3 linked regions of the Coturnix japonica genome follow. The protein of the gene in region 2 binds, or shares a complex with, the protein of the main gene of each other region. Links are inferred from orthologs where the notes say so. Each region holds a gene or a part of one and is shown on either strand. Other genes may lie near its edges.

Region 1 (5,241 bases), on a different chromosome or scaffold from region 2:
CCTATGGCTGCTGAGGTGTCTGAACAGTGGGCAAGGAAGAGCTGAGCATGGCACAGAGGGTCAGCTGTGTGCTCAGAGAGGATGGGAAAAGCAGCACTGCTCCTCTATGGGTCCTTACAGGGATCCAGAGCTGCTGCTACCCACCCTGGTGCTCCCAGGAGCACTCAGCTGTCTGCAAACAGCTGCCTTCAGATTCCCCACATAGATGGGCCATTCTTCCCAGGCGATGTCACAGGCCTTTATATTTTTATGCACAGCCCATCTTTGCAGAGCTCTCCCTGTATCAGGGCACACTCACACACCCTGTTTCCCTCACCTGGTTTCCAGGCTTTACCAAACGCAGCGCGGCCTCAGCGCAGAGATGAGCTGCCTTGATGACATCAGCTTTACGGCCTGACACAGGTTTTTCCTGAAAGAAGAGGAAAAATAAAGGCTTGTAGGGAACAACTCCTTTTCCCTCTTATCAGCAAGACTGCCATTCTGGCTGCCTAAAGATAGAGATACAGTGTGTGGGATCTAAATGAGAGCAGGAGCACTTCTGGCTTCCCAGCTCTGCCATTAGTCCCTTCCCTTGTTAAAGAAAACCTGTGGCCAACCTACCTTTGAGGCATCTATGACAAAACTGTGTGCTACATTTGCTATGAAGCCATCGACGTGGACTCCCAAGTCACTGCAACACAAAGAGAGTTAATTACAGGCGAGGCCTAATGGCTCGGGAAACTGGTGTGACTTCTCAAAGCATTCGAAGATGCAGGTATATTTAATAAAGCTTGACTCGATTAGCTGCTATATTCTGTAATTAGACACGTCGAGGAAGTACTTAACACAGCAAACAGGACTAAAATGCAAAGCCTGGATGCCAAGAGCAAGCATTGATGCAAGAGAAACATAATGAAGATGCTTACATTTTGACCAAGTCTCCATCTTTGAGGATGTAGTCCTGGTCACTCTTCAATGGGGAGAAGTGACAGACACAGTTATTTACTGATATACTCGTTGGGAAGGCAATACCTGTAAAGGAGAAAGAGAATAGTCCATGAAGACACAGTACAGGCAGTGTGGATTGTCACTAAGTTTGAGCTTTGGAAAGCTAAGGTGCCCCACTGAATAATCCCTTGGTGAAACAGCACGAGGAGAGCAGTGTGTGGCACTCTCCTGCCCCAGCAGCTATCAAACAAATTGATCCTCAGCAGTAAGACGTGTACAAAAGGGACCCCAACTCTCCACACTCAACTCAGTGACACACTCAAGTGTCACACTGTTTATATGGCAGCTACAGGTTGATTGCTGAGCACAGGGCCGGCCTTGCCCAAAGGAAGGACACTGTTATCCAAAGTAACTCTTTTATTTCAGTGAGTGGAGCATTGAACTGGGAAGCACCAGCTCAGCAGTGATGCTTCCAAGCAGGACAAGCTGGACGAGTTGGGTTTCTGCACTGCTGCCCACTCATGTCAGCTCAGCAGGATCAGCCCAGTGACCCACGTTGGTGTGCAGGCCTCACCTTTTTTCATTTCTTTTTCCTTCTTGAAGATTTTGCCCGTCTCCTCCATGATCATGGCATCTCCCTTCTCACACAAGCACAGAACCGATGCTCCCGAGTTCGCCTCCTCGACCACAGCACGTAGGACCCCTGTAAAGCAACGCAAGACATGGAACACGTTAACCAAGCTCATCACACAGCACCAAGTCTGCTTTGTTAATGACTTTAGTCTTCATCCTGGATTCAGCTTTGCACTGAGTGAGCTGGAGATATGCAGAGAACCCATTTCAATCCATATTGCCTCTTGAGAACCAAGGCAGGAGCAAACCAACTTATGCTGGGACGTGCACAGGTGAAGCACTGCAGCCTCACGAGGTGCACGGAGGGTTGGCACACAAAGGAGCTGAGCAGAAACACTGCTCTCCCACATTCCTTCCGCAGCACTCAGAGCTACAGGAACAGGTTTGAAAACTGCTTGGGAGACGAACAGCACATCAAAGAGCAGAGGGGCAGCCGCGGGCGTGTGGGACCAGGAGGAAACCGCCCTTACTCTGCACAACTGTGTGTGTACGGCAGCGCTGCACCCACACTGGGGCATATTGTGGTGTGTACAATTAGTAGTTGGCTGCTGGGATGGGTGTCAACGTGCCTCTATAGAATGAGGGGAAGGATTGTGAGCCCAGCACTGCAGTTATGCTTCATATTACTTCAGTAATCTTTCCACAGGTCCCAGATGTTGGTGAGGAATATAAGAGGGAGTGCTGTAATAAAGACCTTTAGTTGATAGCAAGGGGCTGAAAGGTGAGAACAAGGGGCATTATTATCCTTACCTACCTAAGGAAGGGTAGACAGAGAGCTGGTGTTTGTCACACTAAGCAGGGAACCCCTCTGAGCTGCTCTGTGTCCCATAGGCACCACTCTACCAAGCAGGGAAACCCTCTGCTGTTAATCGAGCTGCATTCAGGGCAGCAACAACAGCGCAATGACCCCATCCCACCCCGGGGCTGCGTTGTATGTAGGTAGTACGGCCCCTATAGCCCCTCCTGAGAGGATCCCACGTCCTTATGGCTCGGGGAGCACCGTGAAGGGGCCAAGAGGGAACGGCTGTGGGCAGAAATAAACGAGCAAACAGCAGAGGGTTGGGGGGGGGGACAGGGCAGTGTCCATGTAGTGTTCATGGCAGTGATCCCGGCAGGAGGAGGGGGGGGGGGTGGGAACAAAAGACCGGGGGGGCTCCGTGGCCTCGTGGCCGAGCCCAGCACTCGTTTATACCGGGAGGAACCGATCGGATCCACTCGGGACGGGGGAAAACCGCGTGGATCCCGCCGGGCCCGGCCCTGCCCTGCCCTCCCCCCCCCCATCCCGGTGCACGTGGGGAGCGGAGGCCACGTGCGGTTCCCCACCCCTTAACACCAGGATCCGGCCCTTCAACAGCCGCCATCGGTGTGTATTACCGGGACCACCCCCCCCTATTTACACACACACACCGTGAGGCCTAACGCCACGCAGCCCCCCCCCAGCCCTCAGCCCCGCGGCCCTGCACTCACGGTTGGCGATGTCCCCCCCCATCTTGTACTTGGTCACCACCAGGTCCTCGGCGATGGTCAGCTCGGCCGCCTCCTCCTCGGCCGACATACTCGGAGCTGCCGCCGGTGCCGCCCGTTCTCCCCCCCCCCGACGCCGCCGCCGCCGCTCTGAGGAGACCCCGGGAACGCGAGCGAGAGAGCGCGAGCTGAGCAGGAGCGCGGGCTCCGCGCGGGGCACGCTGGGAAGCCGAGTCTCCTCCCACTTTCAGGACTACATAAACTCCCGGCAGTACTCGCGGCAAGGCCCAGCTAAGGACTACCGTTCCCAGAAGGCAGCGCGGATTATCCAACCGGAAGTAGGGCCGGATGGCGGAAGTGAAGGACTTGTGTTGGGCCTAGTGGGCTCAGGTCGGGGTCTCAGCCCTTGGTAGGCCTTTCCTTTTAGCCCCTATATCCCCCCCATCACATCACACACCAGCAGCCGGTTCTATTCCAATCGTGTTTATTTTCACGTTAACAAACGAAACCCGACTCCCTCCCCCTTTGGAGCGGGGAGGTGACCGGAGTGCATTGAAAAGGCCTCTATGAGGCCTACGGGCACGGCTCAGGCCTGCCCCATAGAGCCCCGTTGGGTGCTGGGGTAGCGCGGCCTGCAGTCAGAGTTAGCCTTCAATCCAACCCCTAAAGGAAGGAAAGAAGCAGGGCCCCCATCCACGGCAGCTGGGAGGACCCCAACCCCACAGGTAGGGCCCCCAACCCCAAAGCAGGGACCCCAACTCAAAGCAGGGACCCCAACCCCAAAGCAGGGACCCCAACCCAAAAGCAGGGACCCCAACTCAAAGCAGGGATCCAAACCCAAAAGCAGGGACCCCAACTCAAAGCAGGGACCCCCGCCCCCAGCCCTGCACATGGGGAGCACCATGGGGAGGGGGGATGCTGGGAATAGCCCTGGGGTATGGCAGTAATGAGGGGAGGACCCCAACCCCACAGGTAAGGCCCCCAACCCCAAATCAGTGGCACCCCAACTGAGTAAAGCAGGACCCAAACTGAAAAAGCAGGACCCCCAACTGAAAAAGCAGGGACCCCAACTGAAAAAGCCAGGATCCCCAACCCCAGCCAGGACCTGCTGCTGCAGCCCTGCACATGGGAGGCACCCATGGGGAGGGGGTGCTGGGCATAAGCCTGGCGGTATGTGCAGTAATGAGGGGAGGACCCCAACCCCACAGGTAAGGCCCCCAACCCCAAATCAGGGACCCCAACTGAAAAGCAGGGACCCCAACTCAAAGCAGGGACCCCAACCCAAAGCAGGGACCCCAACTCAAAGCAGGGACCCCAACTGAAAAGCAGGATCCCCAACCCCAAAGCAGGGACCCCCAACCCCAGCCAGGACTTGCTGCTGCAGCCCTGCACATGGGGAGCACCATGGGGGGGGGGGGTGCTGGGAATAGCCCTGGGGTATGGCAGTAATGAGGGGAGGACCCCAACCCCACAGGTAGGGCCCCCAACCCCAACCCCAAAGCAGGGACCCCAACTCAAAGCAGGGACCCCCGACCCCAGCCAGGACCTGCTGCTGCAGCCGTGCACATGGGGAGCACCATGGGTAGGGGGGTGCTGGGAATAGCCCTGGGGTATGGCAGTAATGAGGGGAGGGGTCCAAGCCCCCCCTCCCAATGGGGGGTTCAGAATCAGCCCCAAACCCAGGCAGGGCTGCCCTCCCCCCCCCTCAATCCCATTCTTCATGTCTCCCATGGGGCTTTGTCTCACACCCTCCATCCAGCACCAGTGTAGGGGGGATGATCCTTCATATCCAGTGTAAACAGCTGAGGGGGGGGGGTCTCTAAGTCCGCTGGGCATCCACCTTAGCAAAGAGGCGGCTGTGCCAGTAGTCGGGGTTGTCGAAGGCACAGTCTGAGGCCTCAAGGCTGCGCAGGGGCTTCATGCAGGTTGGAGGGGGTCCGGGGGGGCTGCGGCAGCCGGGGCAGGGAGGGCCACGGGGGGCCAGCACCGCCTCCATCTCCTCATAGCCCTGCTCCTCAGCTGGGGCCGGGGTGGGCTCCCCAGGCCTCATGTCAGTGTAGCCGTCGTGTCGGGGGGGGCAGCCCTCATGCCGGGGTCCCAGCCCCCCCACCATGTTGCCCAGCGAGCGGCTCAGCCGCGGCTGCTTGTTCATGTACTCGTAGTCCTCCTCCTCCTCCCCACGGCCCAGGGGGGGCCCTGTGGGGCTGCCCAGCTCTG
Region 2 (5,504 bases):
TCCTGGTAATCTGATCCCGCTCCATGAATCCTTGCCATTCAGCCTCCCTATCCTATCCACATTATGATTTGAATCCAATGATCCAGCTCCAAGGATTGGGATCCAGTGAGCCCTCTCCAATCCAAACCTTTATAACCAGCAAAACCAAAAAAGAGGAGGCAAAAAGTTAGATACCGCAATGAAAAAATAGGATTCTGGGGAATGATCAGTTATGTTTGCCATCAATTAATACAGATGTACAGTAATAACTATCAATTCCCCAAAACAAGCTTCTGAATGGTGATGCTATATCTTTTGTTCTCTTTAAGAAACGTTAATTATTTGGAGGAAACACTGCAATATTTACATATGTCAACTAAAAATGCCAACATACTCATTGCTCGTACGGTGGTGCTCTACAGCTTCTGTGGTTGCAAAAAATGTTTATGAAATTGGAAAAGTTTTACTGCTAAAGCTGTCACCTACTGCGCCTCTCAGCTACGGCCAGCACCCCCGGCTGGAAGGTAACAGAGGAACTAACTGCAGCTCTCAATACGGTGAGTCAGCTCTGAATTAGGCTGGGGAAGGGCTGACAAACGATTCCCAACCAGGTTCTCTTAGGATTTGGGTTTTTGGCTTTTTTCCCTTTCATTCTGATACTTAAAAGAAATGAAATAGCAACGCTGTATCAGTCACACAGAGGACATGCAGATTTTAGCAGTATTGATATTATACTCCCATTTAAAGATACCCTTGATCCGCAAGCGTGGAAGTACTGCGGGCCGTTAACGCTTGGAACCAAATGCCGCGGGACAAACCAATGCTCCCACCCCTGTCCCGGTTTACTCCTTTAAAAAAAGACTAGAATGGAATAAGGAATTACACCGGCAAGTACTGAGCCACAATTGCCAAGAGGGTTTTAAAGAACAGAGCAATTGCAGCCCGCAGTGACCAAGAGGTGCCTGAAGAAGTGACACGCAGGCGCACGTTCTCAATTCACCTGTCTCAGTATAAGGTCAATACTGCCAAGTTCATCTGTGACAATAGCACTTGGAGTCATACCATTGCCTCCATTATTGATCTGATCCTCCTCAATCCTCCTTTTGACAATCCTAAAATGATTGACATGTGCTCCACAATCCTTTAATCCAAAGCATTCTTAATCCATCTCTTCAGATATGTCTACAGAAAGACACACGAAAAGGCAAGATAAAATATAAGATCCCCCAGAAGAGACAAGTTAGCCACAAACATCCCAACATCCCCAGCTCGCATGAACCATAGCTGAACACTGAGACATTTACACAGCAATACCACAGTTTGAAGAGTGTTGGTATTTAACTAGAACTAAATTGAAACAATCCTGACTGACATCAATTAAAATACAGTTTACCAAAGACATGAGGGGGAATGTTGTTGTTACGGAGCAAATACTCACTAGGGATTTTACACAAGAATGCAATTCAACACTTCAGCCAATCTGAATAAAACAGCTTGAATTTAAAAAAAAATAATATTGAAAGACTGTACTGAGTAAAGGAAAACTGTGTACAACATGGGGTTCTACAAAAAGATCAGAGCTAGTGATCGCTTATGTACGAGATCGGGATCTGCTGTGGCGGGGAGAGTAGCGTGGAGATCCTCTGCTTCTTCTTGGGGAATAACTGCGGCTTCTGCTGTTGCTTCGACTACGGCTTCTGCTACGACTACGGCTGCGTGACCGAGATCTTCCATAGCTTGGACTTCTTGGACCATCAACTTTAACACGGATGTAGGCAGTTTCTCCCTATTGAATAGACACAACTTTCGATTGAAAGGTCTAGGCTTCGGGGCCATCGTTTTAGGCATGCTGACAGACTGCAGATATCTTTACTAAGGCACAGAAATAGACATCAAACTCTTAATAAAGTCTATTTCGTGACAAACTGACAGCAGACTCAGTTTAGCTGCTTCGTGTATTAACGCAATGATCACCACACATTCCTTACCTTCACATCCTACTGTTAAGCCCTTTGTATCCAATTCTGGCCAAAAACAAGTAAGCGTGAAACCTACCTCATGAGATCTAAACTTAGTGTTATCCAGTTTTCGCACAGCGTAGGTCATATCTTCCTTCCGTACAAACTCCACGACACCAGTTCCATCTCGGAAAACATCAGCATAACATACATCACCTGCTTCACGCATGTGATCCTTTAAATCCTGCCAACTTCCACTTGGAGGCAGTCCTGGATAAAAAGCAACACCTGGCTTTAAAACCCAATGGTGCGATCATATCATAGTATCACAGTCTCGTGCGGGTTGGAAGGGACCTTAGACATCATCGAGTCCAACCCCCCGCGATTTGAGCCTTCTGTGTAGCAGAGCGGCACTTCTGCCACTTGCGCCACAGGGGATTCGAACCCAAGGCCTCCGGTGTTGCAATTCCAGCATCATCCCGCAGCACACGAGCAGAACACCCTGCACACAGCCCACAGCATCCAGCACCCCTCCCCCATCCCGAGGCTTCGCAGGGAAAAGCGGAGCCGCGTCGCCCCCCGCGCACGGCAGCACGAAGGACCCGGGGGAAGAGAGCAGCGACTCACCCGAGACGATCACTCTGTACTCCGATCGCCGGGACGGGGGGCCGTATCTGCCCCGCGGGGCTCCGCCCCCTCCGCCGCCGCCGCCTCCTCTGCCGGTCCCCCGGCCGCTGCGAGGGAACTCCACGCGGAGGCGATACCCATCGTAATCGTAACCGTCCCGCCCGTACACGGCGTCCTCGGCGTCCCTGCGGGTCGGGACGGGCGGTGAGCGCGGCCGCGCCCTGCCACGCGCCGCCCCCCGCAGCGCCTTTGTTCCCAATACCCGCGGCCCCACCCCGCCCCCACCACCACCATCAGCACCACAACCACCATCACCGCCATCACCGCCACCCCCAGCGGCGGCACCGCGCCGGGCCCGGAGCGCAACGAGCCGAGCGTGTGTGTGTGTGTGTGTGTGTGTGTGTGTGTGTGGAATAGCGCGCAGCGGGAGCGGCGCCGCGCGTGGAGGAAGGGAGGGAATGGAGGGGGGGGGTATCGGCGCCCGGCGGAGCCGTTCCCGCCCGTGCCCCAGGGCCCCGCGGCGCTCACCTCGGGTCCTCGAACTCCACGAAGGCGAAGGGCGGCCCCCCGCGGCGGTTCTTCAGGTCGATGTCGCGGATGGCGCCGTATTTGTAGAACACGTCCTCGATGTCCTTGGTGCGGATGTCGGGGGGCAGGTTGCCCACGTAGATGCGGCAGTCGTTATTGCCGGCCGGGCCGCGGATCACGCCCCCTCCGGACATGCCGAGGTCGGCAATGGCTGCGGCGTTCAGGGGCCGGGGCGCGGAGCGCGGGCGGGCGGGCGGGCGCGGGGCCGGGCCGTGCGGACGGGAGCGGACACGGCGACTCCAGCAACCGCCGCTTCAAAATGGCGACCGCGGCTCCCCTCGCGCTCGCAGCGCGCACTGATCTCGCGCACTGATCTCTCTCACCCCGCGCCGCAGCACCGCCGGGCCGCGAGACCGCAATGCGTTCCGAGTATCCCGCCGCGCTCTCGCCCTCGCGCATGCGCGGCAGCGCGGAAAAGTAGTTCCTCTCTTTTGCCTTTCGCCTCCGCTGCTCCGCCAAAGCGGCTGTGGCCGCACAAGAGGCTCCGCTCCTGCCAGCGAGGTCGGGATGAACGTGAATATCCGCCTCCGATCCCCGCTGTCCGCACCGGGACCGCCGCGCTTCTTTCCGCTGCCGTCTCAGGGCGCCGGGCCGTGTGACGTCACTTCCGGTGCGGCGCTCGCGCCAAGAAGTCCCGGCCGGCGCTGGGGGTGTCCCACAATGCACCGCGCCGCTCGGGGCTCTTGGCGCCAAGGCGCGGGGCGTGGCCCGGCCCACAATGCACCGCGGGCGGGTCGGGCCGTGCGCAGCGCTGGGCGGGCGGGCTCGGTACTGAGCGTCCATTCCCGGCCGGTCCGAACCGATCCGTGTCCGCACGAAGCGCTGCGGGCGGATCCGCCCTGCGGCTGCACGGGGTGCACGGGGAGCGGGCCGTGTGGGTCCGTCAGCCGCTCAGCGGACACTGTGTGGGACGGTTGGGACGGGCTCGGTGCGGAGGCAAAATGGCCGCCCCGAGGGCACGGAGCGGGCACCGCGTCACCGCCCGCCTCAGGGGAACGCGGCGGGGCGGGCAGCGGGACGGCAACGGGATACGAATAAAGGGCAGGAACACGGCAGGGTGTGATGGGGACTGAGTCATGAATGGAACAGCAGTGCAAACACCGGGCGGGTGGGAAACGAGCGGAACTGGGGGCGATGGCGGGCGCTGTGTACGGGTGTGAGCAGAGCCGGCCTAAGGGCACAGCCTAACTATGGGCAGAACCTTCCTATGAGCACAGCCGAACTATGGGGGCACGAGAATAACGCCGTGCTGAGTTTGTTTTCTTGATGAGGTTGTAATTGATGTGAAGGCACAGTAACACACCGGGATGTTACCCTTGTTACTCACACGTCTCTGACATTTCTTCAGGCAGCAGATGTAATTTTGAACGTATAAATTGCTTTTAAGTAATGAGGGTGCAATTAGATGAGCCAGGCTTTGGTTTAACAACAAGAATTCTTTTGGCCTGTAGCTGCTCTGTGGTGACACAGAAACTCCAACATCCACTTTTCTTTCTTTAATACAGCATAAAGTCTTTGCCTGACCCATGAGGGCAGAGCAGTCCCTGCTCTGTTGGCTCACACTTGGCTGCCTGGACGTTGTGCTTTGCTTTGCAGATGTGGCAATGCATTGAGGGCTGGAAGTGGCACTGGGGCACACAGTGGTTGCCTGCCTGCATCCAGCACCGCTGAGCCTGCCTGGTGCTGGAGGGCTGAATCTCAGCACCACAGGGATGGGGAAACAGCAGCTGAGCATGGAGAAAAGCCATTATGCTCCTGAGTTGATGAGGGGAGTTTGAGGAATGTGTCCGAGCATTTAGCAGTGGCTGTTGTGCTCACTTTGTTTTCATTTGTTAATTCAAAGCGTGTATTCCTCCCACAGACAGTGACTTACAGTTAGAAAACATCCCATAGTGAAAACATTTTCATGACAAAGTTATAGTGTGCTTGGTTATTATCAATGCCTTTTATTTTTGTCCCTGTGGGTTAAAGTGCAGTAACGTCCTCTGCTCTAATGGTTTCTGACATTAGTGATGCCTGTGCTGCATTGCTGGTGCTTTAAAGACTGCTGTCAACCACAGGAGGATGTGATGAGCAAAGCCCACCAGCAGAAGCGGTGCTTTACCCACATACAGCTCATGGTTCTGGGGGATTTCCTGCATCTTTATGGAGCTTTAATGCTTTCCAGTGTGAACTGGTTGCAAAGACCCCAAACAAACTCTCCCCATGTCTGGAGAAAGCTGCAGCCTAAGCCTGGGAATGGGGTTTAATAAATGCTGGATGTTATTCTTAAAGGCGTCATAAGATAATGGTGAATCTGCCTGGTTTGCTAAAACCCTGCTGCACAATTTCTTTTGTGTGTTAATAGTCCTT
Region 3 (5,375 bases), on a different chromosome or scaffold from region 2:
TTATTTCCTCCATCAAACGAATAAGCCTGTCATGAAGAGATAATGAAACATTCACTACCCACACTGTGCAATTTCTTTCCCCTTTTAACATGGAGGGCTTCTAGCAGTATTAGATTAGCATTTAATACCCACTAAACTCATCTCGGTTGATACAGAAGTTAAATCAACCGTCAGAAACATACTGAGTGTTTTACCTCCCCCAGTAACTACTCACTTGTCGTCCTTCTCAACGTCATGACACACATCAACAATCTGCAGGATGTTGTGGTTTGCACTCAGTTCCAATGCACCGATGTTGATGTGGACATATTCTTTTAAGAAGTCTTCAGCCAGCTGCCTGACTTCCTTTGGCCACGTGGCACTCCACATCAGAGTCTGCCTGTCAGGCTGGAGAGAAAGATTTTATCAGTACAAAATTAACATATCATTAAGTAAAACATAAACACAGAAGTCTACCCAGAAGTCTGAGCTAACTGCGCTATCCTTATCCTTGTTTTAACAAACACTGCTGTTTCTGTAGTACAATTAAATGCAGCTACCATCTATACTCACTCTTATCTGATCCACAATTTTTCTGATTTGAGGTTCGAAACCCATGTCAAGCATTCTATCAGCTTCATCAAGCACTAGGTAAGTGCACCTCCTGAGGTTGGTCTTCCCAGCTTCTAAGAAGTCTATAAGTCTTCCAGGTGTTGCAATGCAGATTTCCACACCTAAAAAAATTACAAGAAAAAAAAAAAATCAACCAGTAAGTCAGATAAGCAGTTTTCGCATCACCTCACACAGATGCATCCAGATTTATCCTTACCTCTTTCTAGATCACGAATTTGTGGTCCCTTTGGAGCACCTCCATAAATACACGTAGACTTCAAGCGACATGCTCTGCTATATTCAGCAGCTACTTGCTGCACTTGCTGAGCCAGTTCCCGAGTTGGTGCCAGCACAAGACACTAGAGGTAAGATGCCCAGATTTAGTTCCATAAATGCAATTTCTAGTCTTACATTTTAACTCAGAAAGTTGTTATACACCACTTCAATGCCAGACTGACTGAAGTAGAACTGAGTATCTCAAACCAAGTAAACAAAGTTAAGTAACATCTCCATTACTAAACACAAGCCAGTGATGTGTGATAAAATACTCAAAATTCACTGTAGCTTCTAGTGGATGGCAAGTTCCAAAATGGAAGAGCAGCTCTGTTCTGTAAAACTTTATAGAACCGTATCAGAGCTTATGGGCTGTTCCTGGGAGACTAGAAAAAGAGAAACCCAAAACACCACACATGGGCCACTTTAAAAGGTTTCCATGATTAAGAACTATGCACTCCTATTAACATGGACAATTAGACTGTGAGAAATCCACCTTCTCTAGCAGCTAAGGTCCTCCTTCAGTTCAGAATACTTACAATAGGTCCATCTCCTCTCTCCAGGAATGGCTGATGATTTATATGCACAATAGCAGGCAACAAGTACTGTTCAGAAGAAAAAAGCCACATTATAGTTTCTTCCCAGGAGCTCAGCCTGCCTTACACCAGGCTGTACTTTCATTGCTGGATTTCAGCAGTACACCACATCATAATCACAACTTACAGACAGCGTTTTCCCTGATCCAGTCTGTGCAACTCCAACCATATCCAATCCACTCAGGGCAACAGGCCATCCCTGTGCTTGAATAGCAGTAGGCTCAGTGAAGTTCTGCCTCTGAATCACCTCCATAACATTTGCTTGAAGAGAAAATTAGAGCTTAACTCACAAGTTGTAAATCAAGACAGGAAAAAAATAAAACAATATGTTGGCCAGCACTTACCAGGAAAGTTAGCTTCATAGAAGTTTATGATTGGTTTTGGACAGTTATGGCCCCTCACTGTGACTTCTTTGCTTGACCTGTACTGCTCAACCTCTTGCTGCAAAAGAAAAACCTCATTACTGGAAACAGCTTTGGCACGGAAGTTAGTGAAGTTACTGCACGCTGGGTCCCATGACCTTAAGCATGTTTGTGCTTGTTTACTTCTGCGTGAGCTGGGTGGGTACATACCGCAGTTCGTCTGACTACATCAGGATGTTCTTGATAGAAGTTCTTCTCAAATTTGGGCAGTTCATCTAAATTCCATTTCTTTTTGGTCAGCTTTTCCCCGGGGTTTCCAAATTTTTTCCCAGAAAGTGGACCAGCTCTACTTCCTCCAAAACGAGGGGCTCCAAACCTAGAGAATATATCAATATTTAGGATCCAAGAGAAAATTTGTTCTCCTCTTGCTATTATGTAACCGCTGTCTTTGTGGTATGCCCTGTAACTTCACAGTTCAGAGTTACCAACCCCACCTATGAGATATTAAGCTTTCAAAACTTAAGTGGCAGATGCAGCAATCCACCTATCTTCACACTCAGAAGGTGAAGTAATGCATTACTTTGCAGCTCCCATAAAACAGAATGGCCTACTGGCAAGATCCAGCACAGGTAAGGAAGTAACATGAACACCGCTGTATTACTCCATGATCAAAATGGTTTCCTACCCAACTGACACTCCCATTTTATCAGCCTACAGAAAGCAGGCAGGGCTTGTTACAAAACCCGGCTACAACTTCCCTCTACGTGTTTTTACCACGTATCCAAACGACAAACTCCTCTCAGTGCCCGTGCGTTGTGAGGACACGCGTTTTCTGTTAATGTTTTATTAACCTCGTGCCCCTCTGTTCTGAGCAGCGACACGGCGCAGCCCATCCGATCCCAGCAGCCCCAAAGCGCAGCTGGACGCGGCTCAGTGCCCGCATGGAGCCCCTGGAGCTGCGCTAACCCGGAGCCGAGCGCGGAGCTGCCTCCCCCCGTCCGGCCGCAGCCCGGCACCGGGTGCGGGGAGCGATCGTGCACCACAGCACAGCGCTCCCAGAGGGGACCGAGCCGAGCGGCCGCTGCTTCCTGCCAGCGCTGTTTCCTTTGTCTCTCATTTCTGTCTACGCCACATTTTCCAGGCGCTGCCATTTTAGAGTCTGAGCTGGGCGGGGGGGGAGGGGGGGTGGAGGAGGAGGAACAAAGGCGGCAGCAGCAGCCGGCATTTTGATTTCCCCTCAGTCACCGCATGGCGGGGCCGGCCATTAACATCCGCTGACACAACACAAAGCGGGAGCCGGCCGGCTCCTGCCAGCAACAGCTCGAGCCGCCGACCCCCTTCGAGGGCAGGAAAAGGAGGAAGAGGGAACCGCCCAACCCTCAGCTCCTCGAGGCTCCGCCATCGCGCAGCGCCCGGCAGCGCCCGGCCAACCCACTGACACACAAACCTCGTCCCGCCGCCCCCCGAGGGGGGGGATGTGGGGGAGCTCCCCGCCAACCACCCGCACCCGAGCGGCTCCAACACACGCCGCCCCCAATGACTGCTCCCAGCTGCCCCGGATCGAGCCGTGAGCCGAGCTGTGAACTGAGCCGTGAGCCGAGGCCGATCCCCCCCCGCCGCCCCCACGAAGCTCCGCAGTCACAAAGCGGAGCCGCGCTCCAGGCCCAGCCCACGGGCCCGGCCGCCATTTTGAGCGGCTTCCACAGCAGCGCGCGGAGCCCCGCGGTCGCCCTGAGAGTCCGGACGCTGGCGGCGACTGGCGCCGGCCGGGCCCCCGGACTCACCCTCTGTCCCTGTCGCTGGAATACCCGGGCATGGCGATGGTGGCGGTGGGCGAGACGGTCCCGATCGCTAAAAAGGATGACGAAGGGCACGACGCGATCCGGCGCCGTCGGTGGGGGCCACAGAATGTAGAACGCCTCACCGCCCCGATGCCGGTTATATACGGCGCCGCGCGGGCTGCTGGGAGCCGGGCGGTGACGCATGCGCAGATCCCTCCCCCGTTACACAAGCGGCCCGAGCCGCCGCAATGCCCCGCCCCCTCGGAATGATTGACGGGCTGCGCGCCGGAAGTGCCCCTCCCTTGGGGGCGGGGCTTGTGCCGACACCGCCCGCTCCTCTCCCCCCCTCCCCCCCCCCCGCGGCTGCGCCTGCGCACTGCGGGTGTCAGGAGGCGGGTCCGGGCCTGGGGCCAAGAGAGGCCTCGGGGTGTGGGGCGGGCAGTGGTGCGATGAGAGGACGGCGGGGTGGGAGATGAGGGGCCGCAGCCGTGTGTGGTGATGCTGTGTTAGATGCTGTGTGTGTGGTGATGCTGCGGCCCCACAGACACTGAGGAACCACCTGGGGAAGGTCTCAAGGGCTCCGAGCGATAAACGGGGCTGTGTTATCCAAATAAACGGGGCTGTGTTATCCAGTCGCTGTGTTATCCAGTCATCGTTACTGGAAGCCCCGCTCTCGCTTTCCGGGCGATTAAAGGAGTTAGAGGCGCAAATCCTCGCGGCCTTCACAGGTTGGCCACAAATAATCAGGAGAGCAGCCGGATTAAATGCTCTGCAGCGCGCTCATACCCTGCCCTTACCCACTGCACGCTTCCAAGCTGCACATACCTGCATTGGATACAGTTACTATTAGTCACTATTTTTACTTTCCCCAGCCATTCAAAGGTCACCAGGAGTGCAGCAGTGCACGCAGGGACAGCGCTGACAGCACAGCAAACATGGAGCAGCTGACGTGGCTGCTGCGCTGCTTATCTGCCTCCTTTGGGAGCCCCAGGAGGAACCAACAGCTCACACCTGTGGCTCTGGGCACAGCAACGAGGTGAGGCCTGGTACATAACAGCTCTACTGGCAGCCCAGTGCACACACACCATAAGGAGGGAGAAATGCCTTCACACTCCATTTATATCCTCCCACCTCCTCACAGAACTCACGGTCTGAGGTTTTTCTGAAACAAAAATAACAAGAGCTGCGTTTAACAGCTACACACATTGTGTTATATCCCACTCCCAGCTCCTCACACACCATGCACTGCATTTCAGTTTAACTGTACACTATCTGAATAGCATTTACGATTCAACACCCCCTCCTGATAAGAACAGGGGGCCCAAAACGAAGCGAGTTATCAAAATCAGTGAATCGTTCACTATTTATTTATACCTTTTGTGTATATTCCTACCATCTGAATCACCTCCCTTGTCAGCCAAAGCTGCAGCCTACCTTGTTTTTCCTCCTTTATAAGCACTTATAACAATCCCTGCCTCCACATTGACAGTACACTCAATATTTGAGATCTGGGCCCCCAAATGATTTACAAACAAAGCATAATGATGGTTTGATTTGGCACGAATTGTTTCCTAACGATTTTATATTGTGGATCCTCCTGGGTGTTGATTTTCAATAGGAGTCACTGACACAAAGAAACAAGCTCCGAAGTTATCCCCTCAAATACCCCATTTATCCCCTCAAATACCCCATTTAACACTCCATACCTACCCACCCTCCTGATGGATCTGCAAACAGGCTGCGTGAAGGCTCTGAAAGTTAGCAGCAAATTA

Evidence for each region.
Region 1: SRSF1 (region 2) and PA2G4 share a complex: the UniProt entries of both Homo sapiens proteins name them as parts of the ribonucleoprotein complex. The link is inferred for Coturnix japonica from reciprocal best matches to the Homo sapiens genes SRSF1 and PA2G4.
Region 3: SRSF1 (region 2) and DDX5 share a complex: the UniProt entries of both Homo sapiens proteins name them as parts of the ribonucleoprotein complex. The link is inferred for Coturnix japonica from reciprocal best matches to the Homo sapiens genes SRSF1 and DDX5.

Annotation. Positions count from the first base shown.
Region 1 is NC_029544.1:857,383-862,623, reverse strand, and holds the start of PA2G4 (proliferation-associated protein 2G4), read right to left. Parts: upstream 3,263-5,241; 5' UTR 3,116-3,262; coding exon 3,028-3,115; intron 1,631-3,027; coding exon 1,502-1,630; intron 1,012-1,501; coding exon 906-1,011; intron 671-905; coding exon 601-670; intron 410-600; coding exon 317-409; intron 1-316. UniProt on the Homo sapiens protein: May play a role in a ERBB3-regulated signal transduction pathway. Seems be involved in growth regulation. Acts a corepressor of the androgen receptor (AR) and is regulated by the ERBB3 ligand neuregulin-1/heregulin (HRG).
Region 2 is NC_029534.1:7,446,160-7,451,663, reverse strand, and holds the start of SRSF1 (serine/arginine-rich splicing factor 1), read right to left. Parts: upstream 3,443-5,504; 5' UTR 3,287-3,442; coding exon 3,093-3,286; intron 2,750-3,092; coding exon 2,565-2,749; intron 2,208-2,564; coding exon 2,035-2,207; exon of another isoform or gene 1,766-2,034; coding exon 1,571-1,765; 3' UTR 1-1,570. UniProt on the Homo sapiens protein: Plays a role in preventing exon skipping, ensuring the accuracy of splicing and regulating alternative splicing.
Region 3 is NC_029533.1:7,249,536-7,254,910, reverse strand, and holds the start of DDX5 (probable ATP-dependent RNA helicase DDX5), read right to left. Parts: upstream 3,750-5,375; 5' UTR 3,639-3,749; coding exon 3,607-3,638; intron 2,199-3,606; coding exon 2,033-2,198; intron 1,902-2,032; coding exon 1,805-1,901; intron 1,722-1,804; coding exon 1,588-1,721; intron 1,470-1,587; coding exon 1,404-1,469; intron 951-1,403; coding exon 809-950; intron 714-808; coding exon 553-713; intron 388-552; coding exon 215-387; intron 27-214; coding exon 1-26. UniProt on the Homo sapiens protein: Involved in the alternative regulation of pre-mRNA splicing; its RNA helicase activity is necessary for increasing tau exon 10 inclusion and occurs in a RBM4-dependent manner. Binds to the tau pre-mRNA in the stem-loop region downstream of exon 10.